Linked DNA regions of Saccharomyces cerevisiae S288C. Changing the gene in region 3 together with the main gene of any one other region gives a genetic interaction. Each region holds a gene or a part of one and is shown on either strand. Other genes may lie near its edges.

The links.
Region 1: mutations in GIM5 (region 3) and STE24 together harm fitness more than expected from each alone (negative genetic interaction), as found in Saccharomyces cerevisiae (5 studies listed by BioGRID, with this or other methods).
Region 2: mutations in GIM5 (region 3) and EAF3 together harm fitness more than expected from each alone (negative genetic interaction), as found in Saccharomyces cerevisiae (6 studies listed by BioGRID, with this or other methods).

What each region holds. Positions count from the first base shown.
Region 1 is NC_001142.9:640,421-644,435, reverse strand, and holds STE24 (zinc metalloprotease), read right to left. Parts: upstream 2,430-4,015; coding exon 1,068-2,429; downstream 1-1,067. Other genes in the region: JHD2 (histone demethylase), read left to right, coding at 1-132; ILM1 (Ilm1p), read left to right, coding at 335-946; TDA4 (Tda4p), read right to left, coding at 2,772-3,611; YJR115W (uncharacterized protein), read right to left, coding at 3,985-4,015. UniProt on the Saccharomyces cerevisiae protein: Proteolytically removes the C-terminal three residues of farnesylated A-factor mating pheromone. Also acts to cleave the N-terminal extension of the pheromone. Does not act on Ras.
Region 2 is NC_001148.4:607,759-611,888, forward strand, and holds EAF3 (Eaf3p), read right to left. Parts: upstream 2,274-4,130; coding exon 1,068-2,273; downstream 1-1,067. Other genes in the region: i-AAA protease YME1, read left to right, coding at 2,723-4,130. UniProt on the Saccharomyces cerevisiae protein: Component of the NuA4 histone acetyltransferase complex which is involved in transcriptional activation of selected genes principally by acetylation of nucleosomal histone H4 and H2A. The NuA4 complex is also involved in DNA repair.
Region 3 is NC_001145.3:80,318-83,349, forward strand, and holds GIM5 (Gim5p), read left to right. Parts: upstream 1-1,957; coding exon 1,958-1,973; intron 1,974-2,056; coding exon 2,057-2,532; downstream 2,533-3,032. Other genes in the region: YML096W (putative asparagine synthase), read left to right, coding at 1-1,169; DNA repair protein RAD10, read right to left, coding at 1,164-1,796; UTP14 (Utp14p), read left to right, coding at 2,773-3,032.

The DNA.
Region 1 (4,015 bases), on a different chromosome or scaffold from region 3:
TTAAAATCAATACAAAACTTGAACAATAGCGACGGTGAAGAACCTTATATTGACGATGAATTGTATTTCACTAAGTCTTTGAAGGATATTGACTCTTTAATAAAGCAAGTTGGTGTTAAGTTAGATAGATAGTCTTCAATATTTGTGTATGGCGTAATGATTTTTTAGAATAATACTTGGCATTTAGCACGCCACTTTTAGCGCGAAAACACCAAAAAAGTAAAGAAAATAATGTCGATCAATCTTTAAAGAGAGACAATTGAATGGTAGTGTAACAATTTACAACATAATAGAGTATCGCATTCAGCAAAAGTAAAGAATAAATTCTAAGAAAATGGCTCAAGCCTTGAACTCCACCAATATTGCTTTTTTCAGAGTAGCATTTTTATTCACGATCGCCTTCTTTTGTTTAAAGAACGTTAATTCTATTTTGCAAAATACATATTTCATAGTCTTAACGCAAGCGATGAATTTACCGCAGTTAACACTGTCACGTTATAGTGGTCAATTGGGTCTTTTCGCTCTTCTGTTTACTCTTAACGGTGTTCATGATCTAATTCCCCTGTTAGAAAACAATGTTAAATACTTCCAATCTGTTGTGCCAGTTAGATTACTAATTTTTTTTATTTTGACAAGTATCTCGTACCTTTGGGAGTCAAACTTTTACGTTCACAATAACTCTGTTTTTATTTACTGTTTTGCAGAAGTTTGGATAAATTTTCTTTTGTATAATGCCATTAGGGAGGAGAAAAATGAAGAGTTCAAAAGATTGAACCAATTCATGGTTAATGATGAGGATATTGAAGAACCCCAACCATTTACCGTGAAGACTGAAACCACAGAAATCATTGAAATAATCAATGATGAAGAAAATGACGATGAAGATGGGAAAGATAATGATGATAACAATGAGAAAGGTAATGATGATAGCGATGCAAAAAAATAAAATGTTTAATCGTTTATTTTTTCTTTCCTTTATTCTTATAGTAGATACCTGTGTATGTATGTAGATATAGACATAACGAAGCTGAATTTAACGGTACATGCTAATATGTGTACTCTATAGATTAGTTTTTCTTCTTTTCACTAACATAGTCTAGAGCGGTCAATCTTTCAGCTAGAGTTGGATGGGAATAATGATAGCTAGAATACAGAGGATCTACATTCATGGTGGAAAGGTTTTTGATTTGTAGATCAATTAGAGCCCTACATAGATTTTGCTTGTAGCCCAATTTTTTAGCATAAGCATCAGCTTGATATTCATGAGTTCTGGAAATTAAACTCATCACGAATTGCATGGCACATTCGAGTGGAGTTAATAAGTCGTTAAATAACATAAATCCAATGATAATGGGGAATTCCTTAGTGATAACGGGATCAACAAAACTGCCAGTGGACTTCTCTAAGAAAAAGCCGAAGGTGTTGTAAAATGATGTATTTCTGTAGATGCTGGTGAAAAGGGAGAAAATGAGGAAGGTGTGCAATTGACTAAAGATGACCATATTAACGATGTGGTTTTTTTGCCAGTGACCGATTTCATGGGCCAAAACAGCCGTAATTTCATCAGTAGAATTACTGTTCACTAAAGTGTCGAACAAAACAATTCTCTTGGAGGTGAATGGCAAACCTGTGAAATATGCGTTTGAATGAGAAGATCTTTTTGAGCCGTCAATGACAAAAATCTTATCTAGAGGGAACCCAACTCTATCGGCCAAACTTTCAATAGATTTTTTCAGTTCACCGTCCTCCAATGGAGTGAACTTATTAAACATGGGCATGATGAAGACTGGAATGATTGTCATGGCTAAGATTTGGACAACGAACAAGAAGACCATAATGTACCAAAGGAAATCAGTAGGGAATTTATCAAAGATCTTAAGGAACAGGTAAAGGATTGGGCCACCAATAGCATACGCCAAAGTCAGACTCTTGATCATATCGGTGATCCATAGTTGGACGGTCAATTTATTGAAACCAAATTTTTCTTCCAGGACAAAATGGCTATAGTAAGAGAGTGGCAAATCAACCAAGGTAGACAAACTGGATAAGAGACCCAAGAAGCATAAACTCTGTGCGACAGTGGAGACCATATGAAATCTGACTGGCAGGACTGCATTCAATAAAGAAACGGCCATGTGCCAGATTTTAGGGAAGAGGTCGTATTTGATGAAAACTAGCTTTTGGGCTAGGTTATAGACGTCACCGAAAATGGAGAACTTGGCCTTGGCCCGGGAGTAGTTCCTTGATTTATGAAAAGTTTCATCATCAATTTCGTCTTCCAGCACAGGTGGCAACTTTGTTTCAGATAGCTTCTGGTACTGTCTGTACGTCAAGTAAGATTCGAAAGAAAATTGGGCAATCGAGAACCCAGAAATGATTAATTTCCACGGGATATTAGGATGGTCGAGAATCGTCTTAAGATCAAACATGAATAAAGGCCTGCAGTTTTCTATTTCCTCCTTTTTTTTCCTTCCTTTTCCTGTTAATTATAGAAGTGGTTTATAATTCGCGAACTTTTTCTCTTGTTCGTTGTCTTTTTTTTTTTATTTCCCGTCGATTTTTTTCTGGAGAAAATGGCAGAACAGAGACGAAGGAATTAGAGTTTTTGAGTAAATGACGTAGAAAAAGAGGGAAAAGTTTAATTGCCTCTTTTTGGTTAATAGGAATGAATATACAAGTTTACATATATGTATATTTGTATGTATGTATGTAGATGTATGTGTGTGTGTGTGTAAGGCGTTTCGTTGTTGAAGATAGAAAAAAAGGTAGGTTTAGTCTAGCTTCGACGTTGGGGCTGGTTTTGCAAGTTTCTTGGCGATTCTAATCATCTTCTTGAACCAAAGCACGTTCAAAAGGTTCATGAAAATGTTCAGCGACATCATCGTGACAGCAGAAAACTTGGGTAACTCGTCTCTTACCTTCCACATCTGCCTGAATAAGAGAGCGGATGCGATGGAGCCCCAGCAAATCCTGACGACGAAAAACACAGTCATGAGCAAAAGGCCATTGACGACATTAAACCACAGAGGGATAGAGTTCTTGCTCTTGGCGTTACATTGCATGATGAACCAATTGATGTTCACAAAGGGAGTGGAGGCCTCGTAGATAAGGAACCTGCCGATCCAGGGTTGGCAGAACGGTCTTAAGGACAACAGCATCACATATACGGAGCCAATGGCGTGGCCCGTGAACTCGAGACCATAAAGCTTGAAGTAACGCACGCACATAGTCAAGTCCCAGATAAAGTACCCTGCGCTGAGGGAAGATACCATTGAACTGTACGAATCTGTGTAGGTGACAACATTATAATGCATTGGCGTCGTGAGGGTGGGCAACAGGACGGTGTTCGAGACGACAGCCTGGATCATCGAGACGGTGTGGACATTGAAATCAATTTTCAGCAGTGGGTCACGGATCGTGGTGTAGTGCTTGCGAAAGACCACTTTATTCAAGAACGGTGCGACAACGGAGAATGCGAGCTGGTAGAAGACGAAGCTGAAGATGATCTCATGCAAATGAGCCAGTATTAAATTAGACGAATGAGGGAAGAAGGACAGCTTTTCGAAGGGGCTGGTGAGGCCGATTGCTGTCGTGGTAGAGTTGGCGTTCATTGCGGCAAGAGCGATAGCTTAAAAATATTGTTTTTTTTTTCTCTTTTATTAAACTATGTTTTATACTGTTATGTTGCGTTGAGTTATGTCAAAATATTATGTTGCCTTGTATGTTTTTGGACCCGACAAAAACACAGGCTGAAAAGAAACACGTATGTATGTATATGTATATAAACATATGTGTGCATATATAAGTGCACGTATAGAAATAATATGCGATAAAAGTCTATTGTTCCTGGCTCATAAAACCTAGGAACTGAACGAGTTTTTTTCTTTGGTGATTCTGGCGTGATTCAACATTCGTATGCGATGACGGGCAGATCCGCGTCGTAAAAATGTTCTTAAGAAAGGAAAAGGGGAAAATGCATGCTAATCACATAATGCTAATGGGCCGGATGTTATTA
Region 2 (4,130 bases), on a different chromosome or scaffold from region 3:
GGGGAAGCCCATATGGAGAATTTTAAAAGCAATAGGGTGCTCGCTTCCAAGCAAATTAGTACTTTTTTTTTTTTTTTAGCAGGAGAATAAAGCTTCAAGCTAATGCACTAGAGTTCGAGGTGCATCATTTCAGTTTTTTTTGCTAGGGCATAATTGATCAGCCTGTTAAACTCATTGCATAGTCAGTAAATTTACAATCCCCGAAAATAATGGTTCCCTTAAATAAGCGAGTTAAGGACTTTTTTTTTTTTTTACAGCAGTAGACCAACCTGTACATGTTTCATAGTCAAGTAATAGCCTGACGAATATCAAACGTTTCCTCTTTTTCATTCCTTTCCTTCAAATGCCTTGGGTTGAAAGGATAGACGTGTATTTAATGCAAGCTCTATCTATAATGAGTGTTATTACAATTGTTATGCTTCTGCATTGAGCGATGAATAAATATAAACAACTCCTTTTCGAACAACTTGTAATTATCCTACGCTTTTGCCTGAGGTCCTTTTTAGCCATTGACAACAAGCAAGTGTCTTTCTGTATGAAGTAAACCCTGCATAAAGTTGTTTTTTGCTGCGTCAGAGGGTTAATGACTTCGAAAGACCCTTTTCTCATATAAGACGCGCCACAGAAGAATGCGCACGACAACGGACTATTTTAGATTATATAATGGCGCGTGTGATGCTGCTTTAATCATGTTGCATAGACCATGCAATTACACTAAAAATATAAAACAAGGAGCCCTGGACAGAACTTGGTAGTGTGCAAACGAGTAAGTGAAGATGATAGTACATTATATACGAAGCTCTTAGTAAGCTCATACTAGATGCGAAACGATGGATACGTCAGAAAAATAACAAAAATAAAATATAATCATTAATGATGTTTTAACTCGACAAGCCCCTTTCAGAGCTGCCATTACCCTAAGAACCTTGCAAAGAGAATAAACTTGAATTTCGTAAAGTGCCACGAACAGTGTCCATATTCTTACACGAGATATTCTGTGAAGAGTTATTGCATAAATACGGAAGAACTAAATACTAGAAATAATCCCAAGCTAGAATATAAACGTCTCACATACCTAAAGCCACTCCTTCGTATTGGCTAGACGTATTTACATACAGAGCATCGTCACTTCTATTTGGATCCTTGTCATTGAAGTATTCGTCCACATGCATCAACAACCAAACCAAGAAGTCTTCGGTTTGTTTGATTAAAAGCTGACAGCTTTGTAGATCCATTGTAGTAGACGAGATCAGCTCTGGTAAAACACTTATCAACCTTAACAGATGGATAGCCCCATAAATTCTAATTGGTACTAGTGGCTTTTGATCCTTCGATGATTTTTTCAGAAGTTCGTCATATTGCAGCCGTTCCAACCTATATAAAAGCATATTACCCAGGCACTTGTCAAAATACAACTTGAGACCGGCACAGTATTCGCTCAACTGTGACTGGGACCCTGGCGATTCCAATTCTTGACTCACTTCATGTTCGTATTTATTCAGTACCATCTCTACCGTCACATCAGCGGGTAGTCTGCAAATTTTTTTGTCCTTCGTTACGTATTCCCAATCGTCGACTAACACGCTCTTCAATTTTATGGGAATTTGAAGGGAAATCTTGGGGGTTGGATAGCCGGCAATATGATGTAGCATATTTGGCGATAGCGAAGAAGATCTTCTGCGGTCATCATTCCCATTTTGGTCGGATGACGAGCGCAAAGAGCTGCCAGGATGGAGGGAATTAGCGGAACTTCTTCCGCTTTTCCTGCCGCTCACTGAAGATGTTAAAAAACTCTGTGAAGTGCTCTTACTTATACTAGCATTCGAGCGGCTGTCTCCCTTTCTTTTTCCACCATTACTAGGCCCTCCCAGACTAGTGGAGAGCTTCTTTTTTTTCTGCTGTTCCAGTAACGATTTCTTAGCTTCTTTCGCCTCGTTCGCCAGTCTTTTTTTCATGGCAATATTCTCTTCATTGTAGGCCCGTATCCTATCATATCCAACCCACTCATCCCAACTCGACTTCCAGCCTTGGTAATGTATGAAAAAACACTTCCCATTAATGATCTCTTCTGGAATGCTTTCATCTTCTCCCAGCTTTTGTGGCTTTATTTCCTTAGTTGCTTGTGAACTACCACCTGGCTTGTCATTAGGAATGCTGGTATACATTTTCGAAGATGGATCCCATATTTTCAAGATCTTTGCTTCATACATAAGAGGACCATGGAATGCCAGACACCGCCCACCGAGCGCAAATTCCTGCTCCAAATCAACCATTATACGTTCTTCAATAGGGTAAATCCAGTGACGAGGCCTCACAGATGCTAATGCAAAATGCTATATGCTTTTAACGACTGTTTTGCAATATACCCTTTTACGTTTCTGGTCGGGATTTCGGATGCATCTTTATTTTCATCTTTCGTGAAATGCGATATGTGGCGATCGCCGGAGGAACGGCCCCCAATCTTCGCCACCTTTTTCTATCAGCATCGGTTGGTTAGTAATCTCGAATCACATGGTACCTCTTTCTTCGAGGAGTGGTAGCTCCTGTACGCTGTAGCGGTAGTGAAAAGGCAATATATCGGAGTTGGTGAAGTGAGTTAAATCTCTACCTTGCGTTTTTGATAAGTAAAAAGCAAGCACAGCTTAAAGGATAAACAGGATTTTATTGAAGCAATTTTTAATTATAATACATTGTGGATAGAACGAAAACAGAGACGTGATAGATGAACGTTTCAAAAATACTTGTGTCGCCCACGGTCACGACAAATGTTTTACGCATATTTGCTCCCAGGCTACCTCAAATCGGTGCTTCTTTGTTAGTTCAAAAAAAATGGGCCTTAAGATCAAAGAAGTTCTACCGTTTTTATTCTGAAAAGAATAGCGGTGAAATGCCTCCTAAGAAGGAAGCTGATAGCTCTGGAAAGGCATCCAATAAATCCACGATATCTTCAATCGACAATTCGCAACCACCACCTCCATCGAACACTAATGATAAAACCAAACAAGCGAACGTAGCTGTGTCACATGCTATGCTAGCAACTAGAGAACAAGAGGCCAATAAAGACTTAACGAGTCCTGATGCACAAGCAGCCTTTTACAAACTTCTCTTACAATCAAACTACCCGCAATACGTGGTCTCTAGGTTTGAGACCCCCGGTATTGCGTCATCGCCTGAATGCATGGAACTGTACATGGAGGCCCTGCAGAGGATAGGCAGACACTCGGAGGCTGATGCCGTTAGACAAAACCTACTGACAGCCAGCTCTGCTGGCGCAGTTAACCCATCATTGGCGTCATCTTCATCAAACCAGTCAGGTTATCATGGTAACTTTCCATCGATGTATTCTCCGCTTTATGGATCTCGCAAAGAGCCACTACATGTTGTCGTATCTGAATCAACTTTTACTGTTGTATCGAGATGGGTAAAGTGGCTGCTTGTTTTCGGTATCTTAACCTACTCTTTTTCTGAAGGTTTTAAATACATCACAGAAAATACAACGCTACTAAAGTCGTCAGAAGTAGCCGACAAATCAGTTGATGTAGCTAAGACAAATGTTAAATTTGATGATGTCTGCGGTTGTGATGAGGCCCGTGCGGAATTGGAAGAAATTGTTGATTTCCTGAAAGATCCAACTAAGTACGAGTCCTTGGGTGGTAAACTACCAAAGGGTGTACTGTTGACTGGACCTCCTGGTACAGGTAAAACTTTGTTGGCTAGGGCCACTGCCGGAGAGGCTGGTGTAGATTTTTTCTTTATGTCAGGTTCTGAATTTGATGAAGTTTACGTCGGTGTTGGTGCTAAACGTATCCGTGATTTGTTTGCTCAAGCGCGTTCTCGTGCACCAGCTATTATTTTTATTGATGAATTAGATGCCATCGGTGGTAAGCGTAATCCAAAGGACCAAGCTTACGCCAAACAAACGTTGAATCAGTTATTGGTCGAATTAGATGGTTTCTCACAAACAAGTGGAATTATTATTATTGGTGCCACAAATTTCCCTGAGGCTTTAGATAAGGCGTTAACTAGACCAGGTAGATTTGATAAGGTTGTGAATGTGGATTTGCCAGATGTTCGTGGTCGTGCTGATATTTTAAAGCATCACATGAAGAAGATTACATTGGCAGACAATG
Region 3 (3,032 bases):
CTTATACTATATATGACGTGAACTCATCCAAACTCTATTTCGGCAGAGATCCAATTGGCAGGCGAAGTTTGTCTTATTCGGTCACTCCAGACAACGAATTGTACGTCGCTAGTGTAACGGGGTCTGCTGGGTCCTTTCAAGATTGTATAGGTGGAGTTATTTATGAATATGATACACGAACTAAGTTGTTAAATTCCAATCAGAGGTCACATCTTCCATACGAAGTGACATCAGAGATAGATCTGAATTTCACATCATTGTCAGAGGTGTCTAAAAATTTATATGCTGTGCTACGTGATTCTGTAAAAAAAAGGGTAGAGTCCATACATCCCAGGCATATTGAAAACTCTCCTATTGCGGTACTATTCTCAGGAGGAATTGATTGTTCAGTAATAGTAGCGTTGATCTGCGAGGTGTTGCAAGAAAATGATTATAAATGTGGAAAACCAGTTATAGAGCTTCTAAATGTATCCTTCGAAAACCCCAGGACTGGTCTTTTTCCCAGTGATACACCTGATAGAAAACTGTCCATTAACAGTGCAAAGACTTTACAAAACTTATATCCTAATGTTGATATCAAACTGGTTGAAGTTGACGTTCCTTATGATGAGTATTTAAAATGGAAGCCATTTGTTATCAATTTAATGTATCCTAAACAGACTGAAATGGACTTGTCTATAGCCATTGCTTTTTTTTTTGCGTCGAGAGGTAGAGGTTTCTTAACTTCTCTGAATGGGGAAAGAACGCCATATCAGCGCCATGGGATAGTGTTATTCAGCGGACTGGGAGCAGACGAACTCTACGGTGGATATCACAAGTTTGCCAACAAACCACCCCATGAACTTGTGGAGGAACTTACAAGGCAAATAAACAACATTTATGATCGCAACCTGAATCGTGATGATAAAGTGATAGCTCATAATGGCGTGGAGGTGAGATACCCATTTTTAGATGAATATGTTATAAAGTTATCTACAGCAGAAATTCCCATTAATTTCAAGGTTAACAAATTAATCCTTCGAAAAGTTGCCTCGCAGTATTTGAAGTTGGATGGAATATCATCAGAACCAAAAAGGGCCATTCAATTCGGTGCTAAAAGCGCTAAAATGACAAAGGATGGTAATAAGCATGGAACAGATTTATTAAAAGAAAATAGGAATTGTTCATAAATTCAAATATTCAATATATTTTGCAGCTTGTTCAAAATTAAATGCTAAAAGTAGAGTAAATCCGTTGAACATACATAGTTTTGTAATGTCATTAAGGGTATCTTCAGAGTTGTTATCGTCTACTATGAATATCAGTATATTATTTTCGTTTCTAGATAAGGGCTGCATTCTCCTAGAGATATAATCGACATATAATTTGTGATAAGTCAAAGTTAAGAACAGTACACTTCTTCCACGAACTAGATAGTCGTAGTATATCATATTAATTCCTGTTGAAGATACATATCTCCAATTGGTGCTCTTTAAGTGGTTCAGGAGTGGATTTTCTTTTTGGGTAGTGTTCACTAGTACAGTTTTTCCCGGTCGAGTACTCCTGAAGGGTCTCTTTCGATTATAGTCATCTGTAGCCTTTGAGTCGGTCCATTCTTCCGGTTTTTGCTGATTGAAGGCGTTTATGACCTGGTTTGAATTTATGCGTCTTGATGTTTGCGGTTCCTGCTGCTGGAGTTTTGATGCATCTATTTCTAACGATTGAGATCCAGTAGTATCTGCACCACTCTTTTCCTTTCTCAATTTGGCCACACCAGCCAATATACTTTCAAATGAAGTAGGATCAGTATTGTTCATCTTCTAGGATAACCAACTTTGTTTATGCCCTTTTTTGTGTTGCGTGGCTGTCTCATAAGTTACAATTTTCTTTTTTGTTCTAACGATTTTAAATAGAAAAGTGTCTTAGATGAAAATCTTGCTGTGACCCAAACAAGAAAGAGCACTGTAAAAATCAAGCCATGTCCTCTCAAAAAAGTATGTAAATGAATAGCTCCTTCGTTGTTGCCACCGTACAGACACTTTACTAACTTTTAAGTTACTACATGTTCGAAACTTAGTCGATTTAACTAAACTAAATCCCGAGCAGCTGAATGCTGTAAAACAGCAATTCGACCAAGAATTGCAGCATTTCACACAGTCCTTGCAAGCATTAACCATGGCTAAGGGCAAGTTCACAGAATGTATTGATGATATTAAAACAGTCTCCCAAGCAGGAAATGAAGGGCAAAAACTACTGGTTCCAGCATCTGCATCATTATACATCCCAGGTAAGATTGTAGACAATAAGAAATTCATGGTCGACATTGGTACAGGATATTACGTTGAAAAGAGCGCTGAAGCAGCAATCGCATTTTACCAAAAGAAAGTAGACAAGCTTAACAAAGAATCTGTACAGATCCAAGATATTATTAAGGAAAAGACCCAGTATTCCTTGTCCATCGAGGCCCAAATAAGACAAGCCGCTATTAGACAGCATGAAGCGATGAGTAAACAACAACAGCAGCAACAAAAAAAGGAGTCGTCTACAGCCTAGGTAACTCTTTTGCTTTTCCTACGATTTTTCATATCTCATTTGTAGCCATCTGATATACGTTTATCTATATGCAACGTAATTTTTTATTTATCGTCACTTTGTAGTTTTCCGGAAAAGGCCATTGAAAATTTTTCAAATTCCTATGGCGATGAGCTGAAAAAATTCATTAAGTGTGCATTCAATAACATCTTGTTATATACTAATAAAAGAGGCTTCAAGACAAAATAAGCTAACTTAAATATGGCAAAAAAGAAATCTAAGAGCAGATCCAAGAGTTCTAGAAGAGTTTTGGATGCTTTGCAACTTGCTGAGAGAGAAATTAATGGTGAATTCGATAACTCCAGCGACAATGACAAAAGACATGATGCTCGTCGTAATGGTACAGTTGTCAACTTGTTAAAAAGGTCAAAAGGTGACACTAACAGTGATGAAGATGATATCGATTCTGAGTCGTTTGAAGATGAGGAGTTGAACTCTGATGAAGCGTTGGGCTCTGATGA